Neurospora crassa OR74A: one gene and its partner. The protein of the gene in region 1 purifies or fractionates together with the protein of each later gene. This does not show direct contact. Links are inferred from orthologs where the notes say so. Each region holds a gene or a part of one and is shown on either strand. Other genes may lie near its edges.

What was found. Proteins that work in one complex are often made in the same cells at the same time.
Region 2: the proteins of NCU06748 (region 1) and NCU16016 purify together in Saccharomyces cerevisiae (affinity purification with western blotting, with the first as the bait; 4 studies listed by BioGRID). This does not show direct contact. The link is inferred for Neurospora crassa OR74A from reciprocal best matches to the Saccharomyces cerevisiae genes COA1 and COX1.

The regions. Positions count from the first base shown.
Region 1 is NC_026502.1:2,064,757-2,075,314, forward strand, and holds NCU06748 (hypothetical protein), read right to left. Parts: upstream 5,546-10,558; 5' UTR 5,383-5,545; coding exon 5,220-5,382; intron 5,082-5,219; coding exon 4,600-5,081; 3' UTR 4,206-4,599; coding exon of another isoform or gene 3,051-4,205; 3' UTR 2,924-3,050; downstream 1-2,923. Other genes in the region: NCU06751 (DUF1000 domain-containing protein), read left to right, coding at 290-549, 702-1,113; NCU06750 (coiled-coil domain-containing protein 25), read right to left, coding at 1,369-1,769, 1,848-1,951, 2,094-2,133, 2,281-2,353; NCU06749 (mitochondrial 54S ribosomal protein YmL9), read left to right, coding at 3,051-4,205; NCU06747 (hypothetical protein), read left to right, coding at 6,804-7,094, 7,158-7,583; NCU06746 (hypothetical protein), read left to right, coding at 8,373-8,523, 8,618-9,594. UniProt on the Saccharomyces cerevisiae protein: Required for efficient assembly of cytochrome c oxidase in the mitochondrial inner membrane. Involved in a step coupling MSS51-dependent cotranslational insertion of COX1 to the addition of its heme A and copper B cofactors.
Region 2 is NC_026614.1:35,372-45,363, reverse strand, and holds NCU16016 (cytochrome c oxidase subunit 1), read right to left. Parts: upstream 6,097-9,992; coding exon 4,423-6,096; downstream 1-4,422. Other genes in the region: NCU16019 (group I intron endonuclease), read right to left, coding at 1-861; NCU16018 (NADH dehydrogenase subunit 1), read right to left, coding at 1,039-1,678; NCU16017 (hypothetical protein), read right to left, coding at 2,580-4,460; NCU16013 (cytochrome b), read right to left, coding at 7,713-8,380, 9,657-9,750; NCU16015 (laglidadg endonuclease), read right to left, coding at 8,713-9,753. UniProt on the Saccharomyces cerevisiae protein: Component of the cytochrome c oxidase, the last enzyme in the mitochondrial electron transport chain which drives oxidative phosphorylation.

The sequences.
Region 1 (10,558 bases):
ACGACTTTCGTCAAAGTTGTTTGCATGCTATTCTACATCTTCCATTTAGCTTTCCGATCTCCGAAAGGCATTTTTGTTGACGGTCGTCGTTGAAATGTAGTTGGTTGCAATCACCCACTGGAAGAACTAACGGTCAACTCAAATCACGCAGGTTTACGACGGAAGCATTCTGTCTTGGCCCCTCACTTTCACCAAACTTCAACAACCACCCCGTCGTCAATATCAATCATCAAAACCTTGACAACACGAGGCACAGAAATCTTATATTCCAACACCTCAACTCAGGACAATGTCGCACCACTGCCACGACGAGCACGACGACCACCACCACCATCATGAGGGCGGGGCAGAGCACGACCACTCTGACGACATCACCCCCGCCGTGCAGTTCTCGCTGTACCAGCACATCAACTTTGACGAGATCACCACGCTGAACGAGCAGGTGCACGGCTCCGGCCAGGCCATTATCAAGAAGACGTGGGCCGAACGATTGGCGACGGAGCCCGAGGTGGTGAGCGATGCTGATGAGCAGCTGATTATCAACGTTCCGTATGTCACACTACTACTTTATCACACTTGATCACTCAAGTCATTCACATCATCACGAAATTTCAATGTCACTCCTCTCCCGTAACATACACATCATACAATGACCCCATCATACACACCCAATCACTAACACACCGACCCTTCCCGAATAGTTTCACAGCCCAAATCAAACTGCACTCGGTCCTCCTGCGCACCTCGCCCTCCCCCTCGGCCCCGCGCACCCTCCGCCTCCTCGCCAACGCCGACATCCACGATTTCGGTCAAGCTGAGGACTCTACCCCCACACAAGAATTCGAGCTCTCCCAGACTTCGGAAATCCAGGAATTGCCCGTCAAGCGAGCCAAGTTCAACGCCGTGCAAAGACTGTGCTTGTTTTTCCCGGATAATTTTTCGCAAGGAGAGGAGGATGAAACGAGAATCAGTTATATTGGTTTCAAGGGGGAGTGGATGACGTTGGGACAAGCGCCGAAGAATATCGTCTACGAGGCGGCGGCTAGGCCGACGGATCATAAGGTTAAGGGAACGGCGGATGCAAGAGGTGTGGGATATAACCGTCAGGGGTAGTAGAGAGGACCTTTTGAGGGGAGTGAGGAATGAGTGACGGGTAGAAAGAGGTTCGAGAGTGGATAAAGGAGCTACCTCTAGTGATGGGTCAAACCGGGTTTAGTTCTTAGTCTGCTGCTTTAAAGGCGGCAGCATACCAGATAGGAATCAAGGTTGGGAAGGTTCTGACGATGGCTTTCGGGCATCAAAGGATTTTCAGGTCTTATGTAGCTTGGAAAACTTCAGTAGGTTTGTTTCTTTTGTTCTCAAGCAAATTTACATGAAATCATCCTCCCAGGTCTCATCCCGATCCTGATTGCTCGAGTTCATCATGTTCTCCTCAGCAAAGAGCTCATCGTAGGCATGATCCTTCTGCCACTTCTTCTCGGCCCGCTCCTTCTTCAGGCGATCCTCCTCCTTCTTCCGCGCCAGCACCGCCGCCTGATCCTTCTTGCGCAGCTCTTTGAGATGCTGCTCCTTCTCCTCTCGCAGGTCCGGGTGCTTCTCAACCTTGGTCTTGTTCAGACGGTTGACGATAGCATTTTCGCGCTGCGCGATCAAAATGCGCTTCACCTTCTTCTGATCCTTGAAGCTGACCTGGCCGACCGCCATGCTGCCGTCCTTCTTGAGATTGGCCCATGGGGTATAGATGATTGTGATGTTGTCCTTCTTGTTACCTTTACAAAAGCACAGAGTTAGTCCTCACGAATTCCCCCATGACTTCCTGACAGTAGAATTCAAAAGCAGCAACTTACCCTCGATGGAGTTGGCCTTGGTCAACTGACCAAGGTCGGTCAGGAGCTCCTCGGGAATGTTCTCCCATGTCCAACCCTCTGGGAGACGGAGGTAGATATGAGCACTGGAAAGTTTGTCGACATGGAACTAAGTAGGGCCTAGTAATGAGAAACAGAGCATAATATGACGAGAACCTCATGGGGAGTCATACCCTACGAAGAATAGTTAGAAAATGCCGAACTAGGCTTGGCCGGGGTGAAACTTACCATACATCCTCCTCCCAGCCGTGTTGGATCAACTCCTCGTCTATAAAATAGCATGTTAGATGAGTGACGAGCTGACATCTATATCCAAGTCAAATATGCAATGTCCATGAGTGTGTCAAGATATATGCATATTCCACAAGGAGATGCAGAATACCACCAATTGTGGCTGATGATCATCTTCACGTACTCTCAAACTTGTCTTTCCCCACATAAATGAAAGCCGGGGGACTGACGACGGTCGAAGTGAAATAGAAGACCATGGTTGCTGATGCCTTTGGAAGAAATGAAAGATGGGAATATTGGGTATCTCAAAACGGCGACAATGAAAAAGACACTTCGTGCAAGAAGGGAAACCAAGATGCAAAAACGCGATTTCTTCTCTGGGGCTGTGTGGTGGTGGTTCGAGTGAAGATGTTTTAGCGGTTGAGTTTGGGGGATCCAATGCGGTAAAATGCGCCCGCACTCCAGCGGAAGTAAAACTACCTAAGTGAATAGAAAGAAGCAATTAACCCTAACCCTTCTTGTAGAGATGTCACACTCTGTACACCACAATCCGCCAAATACATAGTACCCGCCTGTGAATAGCCGCCCCTCCCCTGTCAATTGTGAATCCCCGGATGCCGAACCGATCGACGTTATCGGGGGGGGAGCATCCCGTTACTGAATTTCTGAGTGGCTATCAAATTTCTGCTGCTCCGTGCTTCGAGCCGGCGACCACCACTCCCGCACCCGCCCCAAAACCACCTCAACGGCCGCGCGCCGAAACGACCTCCCAACTCCGCCCCCTCCGGTTCGCGTCTCGAAGACAGCCGGTGTCCTTTCCATTCCCCCCACTCGACGCTCCGGGGCCCCGACATCGATACAACGAACACCGTCAGGTCCAATTGACTGCGACCAACCCCACCAAAAGCAACACAACACCACCCAACCCTCCCCTCAGACTTATACACATACACGATGGCGCCCCGGCTGCCCGCGCGCTGCTGGAGGCAGCTCTCCCTCGTCGAGAGGTCAGCCACCCACACCACAACCACCGCCGCCGCCAGCTCCCTCCTCCTCGCCGGCCGGACCACACCCACCTTCTCCGCCTCCTCGCCATCGACTGTCTTTCCCTCCCTCCTCCCTCAGATCACAAAGCGCGGCGTCAAGTACGGCTGGAGCACGCTCCCGAAGCGCAGCAGGCCCACACGATTCAACCAAGTGACGCAGGGTCTTCCGGCGCCCACCTCGGGCCCGGCCGCTGCCCTCAAGCGCCGCGAGAAGACTACACCCCTGCGCACCGGCGTGCTCGCTGTCAAGAAGGGCATGACCGTCTTCATGGGCCGCACCGGCGCCCGCATCCCCTGCACCGTTCTGCAGCTCGACCGGGTCCAAGTCGTCGCCAACAAGACGCGCGCCAAGAACGGCTACTGGGCCGTCCAGGTTGGCCTGGGCGAGCGCCGCGCCGAAAACGTGGGCGCCCCGCAGCTCGGCTACTACGAGGCCAAGGGCATCCCGCCCAAGCAGACGCTCGCCGAGTTCAAGGTGCGCAACCAGGACGGCTTGTTGCCGGTCGGCGTCCAGCTGTTTCCGGACTGGTTCCACGTCGGCCAGGTGGTGGACGTGCGCGGCATCACGCGCGGTATGGGTTTTGCCGGTGGTATGAAGCGTCACGGCTTCGCCGGTCAGGAGGCGTCGCACGGTAACTCGCTGAACCACCGTACCATTGGTTCCGTCGGTGGTTCGCAGGGCTCCGGTTCGCGTGTGTTGCCCGGCAAGAAGATGCCCGGTCGCATGGGCGCGCAGCAGCACACGGTCCAGAACCTGCCCATTCTGATGGTGGACAACGAGCTCGGCATCGTGGTGGTCAAGGGCGCGGTCGCTGGTCACAAGGGTGCGGTTGTCAAGGTTCAGGATGCTGTCAAGAAGGCTCCTCCCCCGGAGGAGTTTGTCGAGGCCACCAAGCAGCTCCTCAACGAGCGGTTCCCTGATGCGGAGGAGAAGTTGCAGGCGGCGAGGAAGTTGCACTTGGAGCTCAAGGAGGCGAGGAGACAGGGCCTGATAGATTCGCTCATCAAGAATGGGCTGACAGAGAAGGCGGATGGAAATGCTGCGGTAGAAGCTTCGGCTTAAGAGAGGGGGGCTGTCTCTGGTCTGTAGTATGTGTTTGTACTAGGTTTATGGAAGGGAATGTATGGTAAAGCCTTCCCGGTTTCTCATTTTTTTTAGTTCTCTCTTGTATGATACACACGCATCGTGGGGTGTTAAAATGTACAGCTACCGAAAATGTATAACAACTTGAACATACAACCCTTGCCCGTGATAGGTTCGTATGTTCTCTCCCTATATCTTACACATATTCCTCCTTGACAGCCTTCGGGTATTCAATCAGAGAGCCAGACCACGATCCTGTCCTTCAGCTCATCCTGTTTGAGAGGGGGAGAGGGGGACCACCACCTTCCCCGGTTCCCATATATATCCTCCCTTTTTTCAAAACTATTCCCTCCTTAAGAGCACCCCAAAACAATTACTTGGGCATCTGCCTGAAACCCCTGACCTTCGCATCCTCTGCATCATCATCCAGCTCAGGTTCCATCGCACGGCCGTTGATAGCTCTGAACGGATCGCCCTCCTCCAGCAGGTCAATGACCTTGCCGTCCTCCGTCTCCAGACTCCACTCGGTCGTCTCGAACATGCCTCGGGGCGTGGGCCGGAAGCTGGCGAAGCGCATCACGCCCGTGCGCTTGGTGCCCTTGACATTGAACTTGATGTCGATGCGGCCGTGCAGCTGGTTCATCTCGCCCGAGATCCACGGAATCTGCGCCTTGAAGTAGATCTCGTCACCCAGGTACTCGCGCGCGCGCTGGTTCGTGCGCAGCGCATAGAGGGTTGACTCGACCACGGGGGAAGAGAGTTTCTGGTAGTTGAAGATTGCGATCGAGGTGGCGGCTACGATGCCCAAGAAGATGGGGAAGGTGCGGGACCAGCGGAAGCGGGAGGTTTGGACATCTGTTTTTGTGGTTGCAAAGGGAAGAGGGGTCAGTAACTTCCATGGTACTAAGGAACTCAATTGGGGTGCGGAAACAGCAGGAAATACAGAACACAGAGAAGAGAAGAAGAAGAAGAAGAGACACGGGGAGAACATACCAGGAAGTTCACGATCAGCTCGCCTCTCCATCAACGGACCATCGCCAGGCCTGGGTGCCGATGTGAGAGATCTCCTCTGGGGTTGAGCGCGGCCCTTGGCGCAAGGGGAAGGCCTCGCCAGCGCCCTCTTTAGCGCCATACGTTGTGTTATCCTAGAGAGCATTGTGTGTGTTTATGTGTGTGTGAATGATATGTGTACTTTCGTGTGAAGGTTATTTTTCAGACGAACGATGGGGAGGGACGGGACGGGAGGATGTGTTGACACAAGCTTCTGGAGTTCGTCCCGTACACTAAAGCTACCCGACCTACCTACCAAATGGAAGCTGCCCTGGCGACGATTCCTACGATAACTCGTTTATCGATAGGCAGTGGGGCGGCACTACGTCGACCACCCCACTACGATTTGATCAGTGCATAGCCTTTGGGCAATATTCTTGTAGCAGCAAGTACCCAGCTGTCGGGGTGGCTGGTGAGGGTTAGGAGTTGACGAGAGAATCTCGGGGTTGTGTTAAATGCTTCCTCCAAACAGCCCTTGTCGGCACCGCGATATTTGGGGGCTTTTTATGTTCTTTTTTTTTTCTCGATGAGACTATCCCGTTCTGTTCAGAAGTTGCAAATGCATCATTTCTTTGTCCTTCGTTGTCCCAGGTTCAAGAAGAAGAAGAAAACAGGATAAACTCCTGTTGAGTTGCCGGTTAGCTTGCCAATCCATGAACTGTGGTTCTGTTGCTGTATCGTTCAGCATTTCTCTGCTTATATGCCTAATGACGATGGCCGAGAGGCAAGTTTCCTATTTTGGCTCTTACCTTCAAAGCGTGGCGCTACTATTCCACCGGGCTGAGAAGTATGGTCTCTTCCTGTCCGCCTATGATGCAGTTGGCTTCAACGCCATATGCCGTGAGACACGGTCAATTTCTATCCTCCAGTGGGGACTGGACTCTTTTTACTCTCAAGGTTGCGACCGGCCTCGAATAACTCCCAACAAAGAATAGTATTCGTCGGTACAGGACGTCACAATATCCCATATCTGACAAGGCAAGCTCTGTTGTGTATAGCCACAAAACGGGTTACAACCTTGCGAAGCGAGCCGAGCCTCGTGCTGGATGCTTTGCTTCCACGGATCAGCGCGTGGCAGTTCCATGCTGCAGACTAGGCATCTCTCATATGGAAGGGTTCTCGTGGCGTTGGCTGGGCATACGCAGTGATATCCCTCCTTTGGAACAAAGAAGAGAAGTACGTACCCGGTCGAGCCAATCTCACTGCACATCATGAAGAGGCAGTGTCAGTTTTGTGTGCTTACGTGTGGACAAGCTGACAACCACCACATTTGGAAATGGGACCCAATCCGCGTCCCCAAAGACGGCTGAGAGAAGGCCTTTCGCCCAACGAGAGAAAAGACACACCGGCACGACCGCAGTCGGTCCGCTCTCATATAAGACGGCTGGCGCTGTTGTCAATATCTGGGGTAACTTGGACAGGCCCCAACCACATTGCACTTTGCCATATCAAGACCCCAACTGTTCTTGTCCTTCTTCACACTGTTAAGCTCTTCTATTCCCTCAGCCCTAGTGGGATTCGTTCACAATGGCTTCAAGCAGGCTCATGAAAGCCATCTATGTGGCTTTGTTTTTGCTTTACGTTGACGCAGCCATCTCATTATCCCTTGTCTCGTCAATGGTGGCATTTCTTCATGGACGCGGCGGCCAACCATTCGAGGTCCGACGACTTGGTTCGGTCTTCGACCTTCCCGGAGAACCTGCACATCTTTTGACGGACCACGGCCACACGACAAATGCAGCAGGAGGTACGGGCGTCGTCCTTGTAGGGTTCGGTGGCCTCCTAGCTTTGTGGTTGGAGCATAGGTCCAGGGCAAAGGTATGTGTTCATTCTCGTAGAATCATTGTGCAGTGTGCGTCTATGGTACTAACCTTGTGGCAGTACGGGAAAACATCGCCATTCTACTATCTCTGGGCCCTTATCACGATTCTCAGCTGGCTTCTTACTCTCACGGCTCTGATCTATACCTATGTCCTGACCAACAAGCATTCGGATCAGGGTATCGACCTCGCCTACGCAGAAGGCAGTGCTCCGAAGCCGTACCCACGGGACTCTTGGACCCCGGAGAACTGGTATACGCTGGTCAACAGTCTATCACTTGTCCACAGCGACGATCACGACATACTGAAGAAGAAATTGAGAACCATGCGCGGATGGCGCTACAACCTTATTCCCTTCATGATTCTTGGTTTCATTCTCATGGTCCTCGTCATCGTGGAGCTGTTGAGTTTCAGGAGGTCGAGGGGTAGGAAGACAGAACAGCCATTTGAAGAACGACCGCATGAGTCCGCTCACTTGGTAGCCTGATGTGGGCTTTCAAGTTGGGGAACATAAGGGATTTGTGATTGTGGTCACTTGAGCGGTACGGTCGAGATGTCATAACCGATGTCAATTCATTAGTAAACAAAGGGTCTTGCTCAAAAGAGGTAGATGGATGGAAGAGTGTCGACATATGAGTAACAAAGATGATCTCAGTGGTACTATAGTTTGAAAGGAATATATTATATATAGCCGCCAAGATGGGTATCAGAGCTTCACCTTGAGAAACAATGCTCTACCACCACGTACTTGCACACCTGCATTGCATCCGAACGACGCCGATGTGACAAGGAAAAAGGGGTTCGCGGGGGGGGTCAACACTCAACAACAGTGAATGCAGGGGTAGGTACCTAGCTCCTCAGTACGTGTGGACCTTCCGATAAGGCGGGACATAGATAAGGATTTTTGGGGACGGGGCAGACCGACAGCTCAGTAGTCCGATGGCGGGCATCCCGGACCTTACCTATGTACTGTACGTAGCTGAACAACAGCGACCAACAGGGAGCAAGAGGGAACCGGAAGAGCCACGTTCGTCCACTGAAGAAGAAGGCACGACGTCACAATCACCTTTGTCGCTTCTACTTCAATCTGTCCATTTCTTCTCTTTTTTTTTTTACAAATAAATCATCATCCATCCCTCAACCGATCAATCCCTCTGCGCGGGCGCGCAAAACGAATATCGAAACAAATACATACATTGGAACAACAGAGTGACGGATCGATCTTGTACCTAACGACACCCACCCAAATCAACGAGTATCTCGGACAACAAAGACCATGACAGAGGGAATTTCCCCCGCAGACGAGGCAGAGGCGCGCGCCCTCGAGCAGGCTCGCATTCGAAAGGAGCGACGCGAGGCTAAGATCAGGGCCAATGCCGGAAATCGTCTAAACAAGATCACTGGGTTGGGAGGCGGTGTTGAAAGAGGTCAGTGTTTTCCGTCCATCCATCGCGTGTCCTAGCATAGTACAATATCATGTAAATGGCACTAAACCAAAGCTGACATTGGTCTTCTCTTCAGACCCTCCTCCTACGCAGCCAGCCAGCAGCAGCAGCAGCAACGATGACAAGACATTGCCAGTCCCGACCTCCAGCTCCGCACCCCGAGTTCACGCCGACCCCGAAGAGGTCGACATCTCCACCTCTGAACACTTCTACCAACCAAACACCACCCCAAGAATTCCCAAGCTGCCACAGCCTACACAAGGTCCTTCCCCCTTCGACCCGAACGACCTCTCCGAAGAGAGCCTGCGCCAGATGATGCTCGGCCGCGAATCCCCCATGGTTCCAGGTGCCGCCGGCGGCGACCCCTTTGCCAGCCTACTGGGAGCAGGGCCGGGCGGTCAGGGTGGTCCGGGCGCTGAGGACCCGATGATGCAAATGATGCTCGACATGCTTGGCGGAGGTGGAGCTCCCGGTTCCGGTGCTGGTGGTATGCCACCTTTTCCGGGAGGAGGGTTCCCCGGCATGCCCGGTATGGGCGGCATGATGCCTCCCGGAATGGGCATGGGCCAGCCAGGAGTTCCGCCCGCCATGGCCGTTCCCGACCGGTACTCCTCCCTGTGGCGCCTGCTGCACACGGCCGTGGCGCTCGGTCTCGGTCTCTACATTGCGCTGTGGACTTCGTTCAGCGGCAGCAAGGTCGACAGGGACAGCAAGAACATCCTTACTGGCAACAAGCACCACCACGTGGGCGCGGGGGACCAGGTGGCTGTGGGCTTCGATACGGATTCGGCCAGACGGTTTTTCTACGTGTTTGCTACGGCTGAGGCGCTGCTGCTGACGACGCGCTTCTTTCTGGAAAAGGGTTTGGCAAAGAGTCCCGTGGGCGGCGCTTTTGGTGGTGGTATGTTGGGTATGGCTGTGGGTTTCTTGCCGCAGCCGTGGAAGGGCTATTTGGAGATTGCGATGAGGTATGGACAGATATTAAGCACGGTTAAGGCGGATATTCTCGTTTGTATCTTTGTGCTTGGGGTCTGCTCATGGTGGAGGTCGTAGTTCTCTATCTGAAGGAACAGAGGGAGAAGATGGCTGAGAATGTTTACTGCAACGGCTTACGGGCGTAATGAATGGGTCAGAAAGGGGGTAACTGAGCACGCTTTTAATGGCATGGAATATTGTAATGAAAACAACAGGAACATGAGTGTACGCCGTCACGACATGAGTGTCCCATCGCATTTGTCTGGTTGAAATGACAAGGCCTTGAGTTTGAAGATAGCTGGCAAGACACTTTTCAATTTCTCACACAGAGTACTTACATTCCCAATGCCGTCAAACGTCAACTCGCCAGTTACCTAAAAGGTGAGGTATCGTCTCGATTTGTTCCAAAAACCAAACCCAAAAGCCCTCGTTGCCTATAGGTACACAAGTATCCAAAGTGTTCCCCACATCTTCCGCCCTCCTTTCTGCGACCGCAATCATATCTGTAGAATCTAGCATCTCCTTTTAACTAACCAATTCTTCCCTTTCATCCTAATTCTATTCCAGGGGCACCAGAACAACCAGGCGCCTTACCTCACCACCTTGCCACCACCACCAATCTCTTGAACCTTTCACTTTCTTCTACACCCCATCCCATTATCTTCTTCCACCTTCTCATAAACCGTGATAAGACAGCGGTCACAGTAAGCGTCGAGTTCGTAGCGGTCGATGCAGATGACGACGGGTGGGGCCGAGACTACAAAGTCGATGCCCCACCGGCCTGAATAGAAACAGTGACGAAACTAGAGGGGGAGGGTTGAGGAGGAGGAGGAGGAGGAGGAGGAGGGCGGAATTTTATAGTAGTAGGTTTGGCCCGAAGAGAAGAAGTGGCTTTGGCGGAAAGAGGAGGGTAAGGGCCGAAAGTGATAAAGAGGCAAAGGGCGGAGAGGAGGATGAGGGGGGTAATCAGGGGAGAGCCTGCTGTTACGTAGCATTTTTGTCGGTGAGGACTTGGATGTTGGCTTGTGATGTTTGCTGATTT
Region 2 (9,992 bases), on another chromosome or scaffold:
TAAATACTTACCTACTGTAACCTTAGAAATACCTAAATATTTAGCTAGCTCTACATTATTACTAAACTTTAAAATTAAATTGTCCTCTAAATCATAAATACCTACACCTAAAGGATATTTATTCTTTTTTTCACTCATAGACGCCTTAGTAGCTTCACTATGTTTTTTACCAAACATAGGATTTAATTCACCTGGTTTACTAATTAAACCTAGTGCTTCTTCAGTATGAGTTTTACCAAACATAGGATGATTATTTTTATCCTTATAATAATCAACCATCTTTAATCTTGCTTCTTCTGTATGTTTATAACCTAAAGAGCTTGTAGCTATAGCTTTAAAATTGTAAAGATTATCAAAATTAAATCTGTTAATATAACTAGTCTCTAGATCAGTTAAAGCTTTATGACTTATAATTTTGCTTTCGTATGTGAAATATTCATATATACAAAATATAAATTTATCTAAGCCATACTTAGTAAATGCTTTTTGTAAAGCAATATTAGACTTCTTATTTTCCAAATGTTCATTAAGTCTTAAATAAAAATCCTTGGCACTTCCGATATATTGATTATTATTGACTGTATTAATAAAAGAATAAATACCTCCTTTGTCTTTTAATAATATTCTAGAAGATTTAATAGAGTCTTTATTATTTAGATTATTAATAGTAAAAATAGGAACAGGAGGTAAATCAGATGATTGTGAATCTGATTTTGAAGTAGAATAATATCTATAACTAGCTATTGTACAAACTTTTAATCTAGATATAGTATTAAAATAACCTGTATGAACTAAATAGTTCGCACCTAAGGTAGTAACGGTAGAGTTCATATTTATATATGATTTCATTTTTTTTATCATTTTGTATTTACATACAAATTTGGACTATACCTTATCTAATAGAGCCGCAAGGCGTCTATTAAATGATCACGTCTAGTCTCTGAAGGTTTTAACATTATATGTTAACTTCCTTGCTGATTGTCCTAGCCTCAAAGGAGTTTCCAGCAATTTGTGATCTTTAATGAGACCAAATCATATTAGTAGCCTCAGCTAAATCAAAGGGGGCACGATTAGTTTCCGCAATCGATCCAATAAAAAATATAATAAATATAGGCAATAAAGGTAATACAAATAAAACAGCCCTTTGAGATTCAGTATTCACACCAAGATTAAAACTTCCAGTTAACATAATAACTAAAAGTATCGCAGAACTTAAGACTAACTCATAACTAATTAATTGGGCTGCACTTCTTAATGACCCTAAAAAAGCATATTTACTATTAGCACTTCATCCAGCTAAAAGTATTCCGTAGGTCGCTAGAGAAGAAACAGCCAACATATATAATATACCTAAATTCACATCCTGAATAACCAATGACGGTCCATAAGGTATTACTGCGTAACCTAAAAGAGAAAAAATTAATGTAATAACAGGACCTAAAAAGAATAATGTCATATTAGCTTGTGTAAGTGCTACATATTCTTTTAGTAAAAGTTTCAAAGCATCAGCAAATGCTTGCAAAAGTCCTAGGTAACCTACGGCATTCGGACCCAATCTTCTTTGCATACTTGCCATAGTTTTTCTTTCCGCTACTGTCACATAAGCTACTGCTAATAAAGAGGGAACTAATACCAAAAGAACTTCTAAAATCGAGATTATTGTTAGGGAATAAAACATAAAAAAAAAAAATTAGATTAAATGATGAAGAAGCAGAAGAAGAAGATCGAGATGAAGAATCGACCCCCCTCCGGGGTTGATTCAAGGCCCCACGGGCCCTCGAATCTTTTAATAATTGGAATTGATTTATTATTAAGCAATCTAGGCCAAAAAATTGAATTGTGTGTGCCAAAATATAAAATATTAAAACTTTAAAATTTAAAGTAGTATTCGTAAAGAATCATTGACTTTACTATCTAATGATTAATCACTTAATTCTCATTTTAGATTCGAACTAAAATCGGAATATTAGAAGTATCCTGCTCTTCCTTTGAGCTAATGAGAAATGTATAATACTCTTATCCCTAATCCCCCCCCTTATCCCCCTCCCCCGCCCTGCAGTACTGCAGGGGGGAAGGGGATTAAAGGGGATTAAAGGGGGGATACGAGGGGGGAAGAGTTTATACCCGTAGTAGTATATGTTTACATACTAGGTTGATTAAGCTTAAAATTTAAGCTACCCGTATATTCCATTTCTCCTACGAAGTAAGGCATAAAAAAACCAAGCCTTACTTAAGTCTAGCCCTATATTAAAAAATAAGCTTTCTTAAGTCGGGTATATAGACTAAATATTTAAGGTGAGGGGCGCAAGCTTACCCCATATAGATTGTGTTCATATTACTACGTTTCTAGGTTTTCCATACGTTCCTAGTGTCTCCTGGCTGGGCAGGGGCTACTGTTCTTTCCTCTTGTTTCCTAACTCTCCAGTCCTCTAAATGTCTACTAAATAATTTGAAATTTTATTGCGGCTGGTTAGGGAGGGATGGGATGGGATGGGATTGGATTTGATTTAATGCGGCTAGGTTATTTTACCCCCGCCCTGCAGTACTGCAGGGGGGAAGGAAGGAATTTTTTTTTCGATCTAATTTTTAGTTTTAGCCTGATTAAATGCATTTAGAAAGTATTTCTTTAATTTCATTTCTTGGTCATTGAAATCTCTACAAGAAGTTGGAAATTCTTGGTGGAGGAAATCTTTAAGTTCTTTACATTTATACTCACGCTGGATATTTTTCTGTATAATAGATTCCGCTAATTTAAAGTTTTTCATTTGACTATGTTGAACTTTATTTTGAAGCTCGAGATATTTTTTCATATCACCTTTAAAATTATAAGCAGTATTTTGCTGACTATTTCTGTCAAATGTATTTTTATGTTTTTGACCTTCTGTCATAAGTAAATTCTTGGATTCCTCGAGTTTATCTAGGATCTCCTTTAAATTTTTATGGCTTTCCGGATCCATAAACTGACCTAAAGATTTATAAATCGTAGATCTATATCTATTGTTTTCCTGTAGAGCGAATTCACGAAGTTTTAGCATCGAAATGATTTTGTTTCCATTCTCCTGATCAGCAAAATCAAGAGATCCTGGAAGATCATCTTCCAACTTAGTGGCTAGTTCTCTAACTACTGCAGTCGTCTGCAATTGAGAAGTTTCTATTCCCAAAAACTCAGCCAAAGCAGCTTTAACCTTAGGTGCTTGACTTCCCGTAATAGGAGCTAAGTTTTTTGGAGCTGACTTAGTTTGACTTCCCTTAGCAGCATCTAAGTTTTCTGCAGCTGACTTAGGTGTTTGACTTGCCTTAATAGCAGCAGCATCTAAGTTTTCTGCAGCTGACTTAGGTGTTTGACTTGCCTTAATAGCATCTAAGTTTTCGGCAGCTAATTTTTTGGCAGCTTTGGCAGCTTTTTTTACAGCTGACTTACTTTTACTTTTACTTCCCTTAGCAGCATCTAAGTTTTCTGCAGCTGACTTAGGTGTTTGACTTGCCTTAATAGCAGCAGCATCTAAGTTTTCTGCAGCTGACTTAGGTGTTTGACTTGCCTTAATAGCATCTAAGTTTTCTGCAGCTGACTTAGTTTGACTTGCCTTAGTAGCATCTAAGTTTTCCACTCCTTCAGTGGAAGACCTTGTTCATAAACCTTCTACTCAGTCTGGTTTATCTCGTATTCAACGCCTACGCACCATTGAGCGTGTTCTTGTTTTACGATAACCTCGGGATCTAGGACCTTGATCTGTTTGTGTTGTTTCATCCTCTGAATCTGTTTCTGGTGCTAATCGGTCTTGATTAGGACCTGAGCTTGCACCTGAATTTCCTTTTGCAGATGGAGGTGAATCTGAACCTCCTGATGCACCTGAGTCTGAACCTTTTTTATATAAAGTTAAAGGTCCACGTGGAGATGGTGTTTTTTTTTCACAAGACTCACCACCTACACCCGCAGGTAATTCAAAATCACTATAATATAGTTCTCCAAAAATTCTAGCTAAACTACCAAATAGGTACATCAAGGTTCAAAGATGAAGATCTAAAAATATTGAAGAAGCTTTAGGAGCTTCTACTCCTAAATTGGACGCTTCTACTCCTAAATTGGACTCTACTCAAATCATATTAAATAATCTTAAGCCAAAAAAAGGGAAATTTTTTACCAAATTTTGAGTAAAAAATACCAGAGTTCATATCTCCTGATCATAACAAATATATATACCTTTAACTATTAACATAGTAGGTAGAGCAAAAAAAATAAATATTTTAAACTTCTTAATCATATTCATTCAGATGGCTTTAGATATTTCAGTAATACGAGATTTAGAAGGTCAGTTCCAAATAGATGCTTGTAAATTTGAGGTCACAAAAAGGTGAGGTTTTGGTGGTGTTAAAGTTAGTTTATGAGTTAAAAATTGGATGAAAGTTAAAAGTTCAAGAAAATTAATTTTGCCTCCCACTGATTTCTTTTTGTTCCCCATATGATGATAATCTAAAAAATGATAAAAAAAATGATGAAGATTGTAATGGAAGACTCACGAATGAATGAGGTTTAGGTGGGCTACTTATAGATCATTCTAAACTAGGATAACTTCTATTTAAAAGAGCACGTAAACTATCAGTATAGAATTGTGGGATTGATCATGGATATCTACCTGCGTATTCTCCTTGAACTAGTTGTATATACACAATATATAAGAATAATCAAGAAGCTACTACACTTACGATTGACCCAAAACTACTTATTAAATTTCAACCTGAAAATGCGTCAGGGTAATCACTTATTCTTCTTGGCATACCTTGTAAACCTAAGAAATGTTGAGGGAAGAATGTTAAATTAACCCCTATGAATAAAAGTCAGAATTGAGCTTTAGATAACACCATATTATAATTTAAACCTAATATTTTAGGTACTCAGTGATATCATCCGCTAAACATTGCAAATACAGCACCCATACTTAATACATAGTGAAAATGAGCAACTACGTAATAAGTATCGTGGAATGCTATATCTAAAGATGCATTCGCTAAAACAACTCCACTTAATCCCCCAATTGTGAACATAAATACAAAACCTAAAGCAAATAACATAGAAGGAGTTAATCTAATAGAACCTCCATAACATGTAGCTAATCATGAGAATATTTTAATTCCTGTAGGAACTGCAATAATTAATGTAGCTGCTGTGAAATACGCTCTTGTATCCACGTCTAAACCAACTGTATACATATGATGACTTCAAACAATAAATCCTAATATTCCAATAGACATCATGGCGTAGACCATACCAATATAACCGAATACTGATTTATTAGAATAAGCTGATATTGTTGTACTTATTATACCAAAACCAGGTATAATTAAAATGTAAACCTCAGGATGCCCGAAGAATCAGAAAAGATGTTGGAATAAAATAGGATCACCACCACCAGCTGTTTCAAAGAATGATGTATTAAAATTTCTATCTGTTAATAGCATAGTAATTGCACCGGCCAACACGGGGAGAGATAGTAATAATAATACAGCTGTAATAACTACAGCTCATCCAAATAAAGCTAATTTGTGCAATCTAATTCCTGGTGTTCTCATATTTACTATTGTAGTTATGAAATTAATAGACCCTAATAAGGAACTAACTCCTGATAAATGTAGGGCAAAGATAGCCAAATCTACACTAGGTCCACTATGACTTTGTACACCTGATAAAGGAGGATAAATTGTTCATCCTGTACCTGCTCCACCTTCTATACATGCAGAGAATACTAATAATAGTAAACTTGGTGGTAACAGTCAGAAACTAATATTATTAAGTCTTGGGAATGCCATGTCAGGACCCCCTACTAATAATGGTAACAAGAAATTACCAAATCCACCTATTAATGCTGGCATAACCATAAAGAAAATCATTAAGATCGCATGTGCAGTTATTATAGCATTGTATAATTGATTATCTGCAATGTACTGCACCCCAGGTCCGCTTAACTCCATTCTTATTAAAACAGAAAATGCTGTTCCAAGTAACCCAGAAAATAGCGCAAAGATTAGATAAAGAACTCCTATATCTTTAGCATTCGTTGATAAAAATCATCTTTCAGTTCAAATCGAAATTGACGACATTAACCCGACACTTCTTTTACTTGAATTTAAAGAGAGCCCAAACTCCTCACTATTTAATTGATTAAATAATATAATGGTTTTTATTATAATGGTTACGTATCTTATAAATAAAAATAAAATAAGATTACAACATCTTATTGATTATACAATCAATGCTAACCAGGATATTCTGTAAACCGACCAACAGAATATCCCCGGTAACGTAATTCTGGATCACCTACGTAGGTGATTGACTGACTTACTAAAAAACACACTAGCCTTTCAATGTTTTGTGGACTTTCTTTTTTTTTTTTTTTTTAAAAAAAAAAAAAAAAAAAAAAAAGGCGGAATCACGGCTAAATCAGTATTAGAACCAACGAAGTGCCTTGCTATATTAAGTCAGCTATCCAATATTCCATTAGCCTCATGTAGTAAATTAACTTTTCTCGCTACCCTTATCCACATATCCCCCCGTCCCCCCGCCCTGCAGTACTGCAGGGGGGGGAAGGGGGATTGTGAAGAGTGGATGAGCGCCTTTGGAGGAGCGCACAAGTTATTATTATAATTCATTTTGCTCCCACTTCTAAACCCCCGCAAGCTTGCGGGGGGTTTGTTAGGAGAGCCTCCGCTACGCGAGAAAATGAAGACTTATCTTATTATTTAACCAAAATATTAAAAATATTTTGGGAGGCAATTATTTTTTAGCTTCCCCCCCTGCAGTACTGCAGGGCGGGGGGACGGCTAAAAAAATTAAGCGAAGCTCGCCTCCAAAATATGTAGGTAGTGTATATAAAAAAAAAAAGAAATATTTCTTTACCGGTTTATTTCTTCATAATACATATTTTGTTAAGGCGGGCGAAGCTTGCCTCAGAATCACTCCGCCTTTTCTACAACATCAGTTAAGATACTACTTAGTATCTTATATTCCTTTGTAGCCTACAAGAGAAGATTTAGTTTGTATATTTTAGGGGCTAGCGAAGCTCGCCTCCAAACTAAACTAAACCTAAATTTATTTTACATACAAATAATAAATCGAGCCGCGAGGCGTCTTTTTATCATATATTTTTAAAAACAAAAACAAATATATGTTTTAGTGCTTAAATATTATTATTATGTACTACCCCCATATTATTTAAGCCCTAAATACAGATAATTACTCCCCTTATAGAATTATTTTTTTTTTTTCATTAAGATAGTTAGTAAATTTATTAAATTTGCGGGCAGCTTGCTTCATTTTTTTTTGGGCTGGCGCTTATTTTTTTTAGCTTCCCCCCCCTGCAGTACTGCAGGGCGGGGGGACGGCTAAAAAAAATTAAGCTAGCCTCAAAAAAATTGGCTATAGGCTAACCCTAAAGGATTACGTAGGAATCGAACCTAATCCTTAAGATTTGCAGTCAAAGGGTAAACCATTTACATCGTAATCCTGATCCCTTGCTAAGATCAAATAATTATTTACGGCCTCCTCCGTTTCCCTCCACCCCCCCCCTGCAGTACTGCAGGGCGGGGGGACGGCTAAAAAAAAAATTAAGCGAAGCTCGCCTCGAGAAGTGGAAGGGAGGAAGGTAGGAAAGCTCGCCTCAAAAAAAACCAAATTAGCAAAGCTAAAAAAAATTTTTTTTAGCTTTGCTAAAAAAATCTTATTTCAAGTAGTTGAGATCTACAAGAGTATTCTCAATTAAACTAAGCACAGGTACTATAAATATAAAGTAACTGAAATAAAAGATTGTACTAAATTGACCTAATTCAATAAAAGGTGATTCTACATGACAAGCACCTAATTTCATTAAAATTAAGAAATTTACTACAAAAGCTCAGAAAGCGAATTTACTTAAAGGTCTAAATTGTAAACCTTTTGATCTACCTAAATCTGTTATAGGTAATAACATTATAGCTAATATTGCACTAAACATAGCAATAACTCCTAATAATTTATTAGGTATAGATCTTAATATAGCGTAGAAAGGTAATAAATATCATTCTGGCACAATAGCAGGTGGAGTTTGCATAGGGTTGGCCATTATATAATTTTCACTATCACCTAAAACATTGGGCATAAAGAAAACAAATGAACTTAAAACATATATAAAGATAAAAATAGTTATTAAATCTTTAAATAAATAATAAGGAGCAAATGTTATTCTATCGTAATTACCTGAAACACCTAAAGGGTTACTTGACCCTGCTGTATCATGAAGTGCAATCAGATGCATTAATACTAATGCTGCTAAAATAAATGGTAAAACAAAATGTAAAGCAAAGAATCTATTTAAAGTAGCATTGTTTACACTAAAACCTCCTCAAATGACAATATATTACGTATAATATTTAACTTATACTTTACACCCTTAAGGGTATATTTAGACTATATCTTAAACCCACTCATAGAGTGGATTTTGGGGGTATCGTGTTGAGCTTATTGTTGGTATAACTCACTCATTAGTCGTTGAACGTTCTTAATCCATTTTTTATATACCGAATTAAGTTTCGCTACAAATAATCTAATAAAACGGAGGTAATTTATTAAATGTCCTTGTAATTTTCCCCATTTGCCTCTAAAATATAATAAGATTAAACCCTACCTATTTTAAGGAGCCCCATTACATTTATTAATTTATATCTTTTGCAATCTATCTTGCATTATTTTGCATCAGGATAATTTAAGGTACTATAACGCAAACTTTCTCGTAAATTATTTAACCATTTTATATATTGAATATATTTCAACCCTACTAAAGGATGTAAACCTGAAAATGAAAAGAAATTTATAACTTTTTGTATATCAGATTTAGAACTAACACCAAATTGATTAAAATTATTTGTTGTATCTATTTTTCTATTAGTATTAAACATTAGTTTAAAGGCTTCAAATAAATTAGTATGTATTCTCTGTTTTAATTGAAAACAACCATCATTATTACTTTTAATAAAAAATGAACCCTCAGAACATGTAAATCCGACTATTCAATTTTTAAAAAAAGGCAATAATGTGTAATCAATAGGATTTTTAGGTATCTCAAAAACAGCAGGTGTGTTATCGGGAATTTGATTATACATCTTAATATCATTTTTGAATATATACATAGCTAAGTTAAATTGATCTGCTCTAGTATTAGTTAAGAAAAAAATCTTATTATACATAAGCAATGGGAACAATATTTCTTGTAGATCCGTTTTATTAATTACTAATTTACAAGTTGGACTTCTTAAATCCTTATAAATATTTATCTTACCTATTTTTAAAACAGAATGAATATATTCTAAAATAGAAAGATCTTCTAAATGAAGAGATATAACTAACTTAATTGCTATGAAACCTTTAGATGTTTTAGTTACTTGAATATACCCATCACCATCAACCAATCCAGCTAAAAAAGCTAAAAATGATGAAGGAATGGATATATATTCTTGTTTATCTAATCTTAAAGCCTTATTTGATTTCTTTAAAGCGTTTTGATGAATAACACCTATCGTAGGAAGGTTAGATGAAAAATTAACATGTAGTAAGATATAATAATACACAACTACAATTGAAAATAAAATAGCAATAAAAGATAAATTAATAATTAAAGTAATAATTTTTGACTCAACAATATCTTGTCCAATTCATGGAATTGCACTTATTAAATTGGTAATAACAGTAGCACCTCATAAACTCATCTGTCCATAAGGTAAAACATACGTACTTACTTATTATATCAATAATAAGCTGGAATAACTTTTAATTCGTGTATTCCATTAATTAAATACCTTTGTTTAATTAAAAGTTCCGACTGTACATTAAGCAGCATTTCAGCCACCCATTAGTGACCCAGTCTGTAGCGATTATTTATATAACCGACGGTCTTGTCCCAGCATAAGTAGAGGGATTTTAACCGTTTTCACTAACATCGCCAAATAGTACTAAAACTATTTTACAT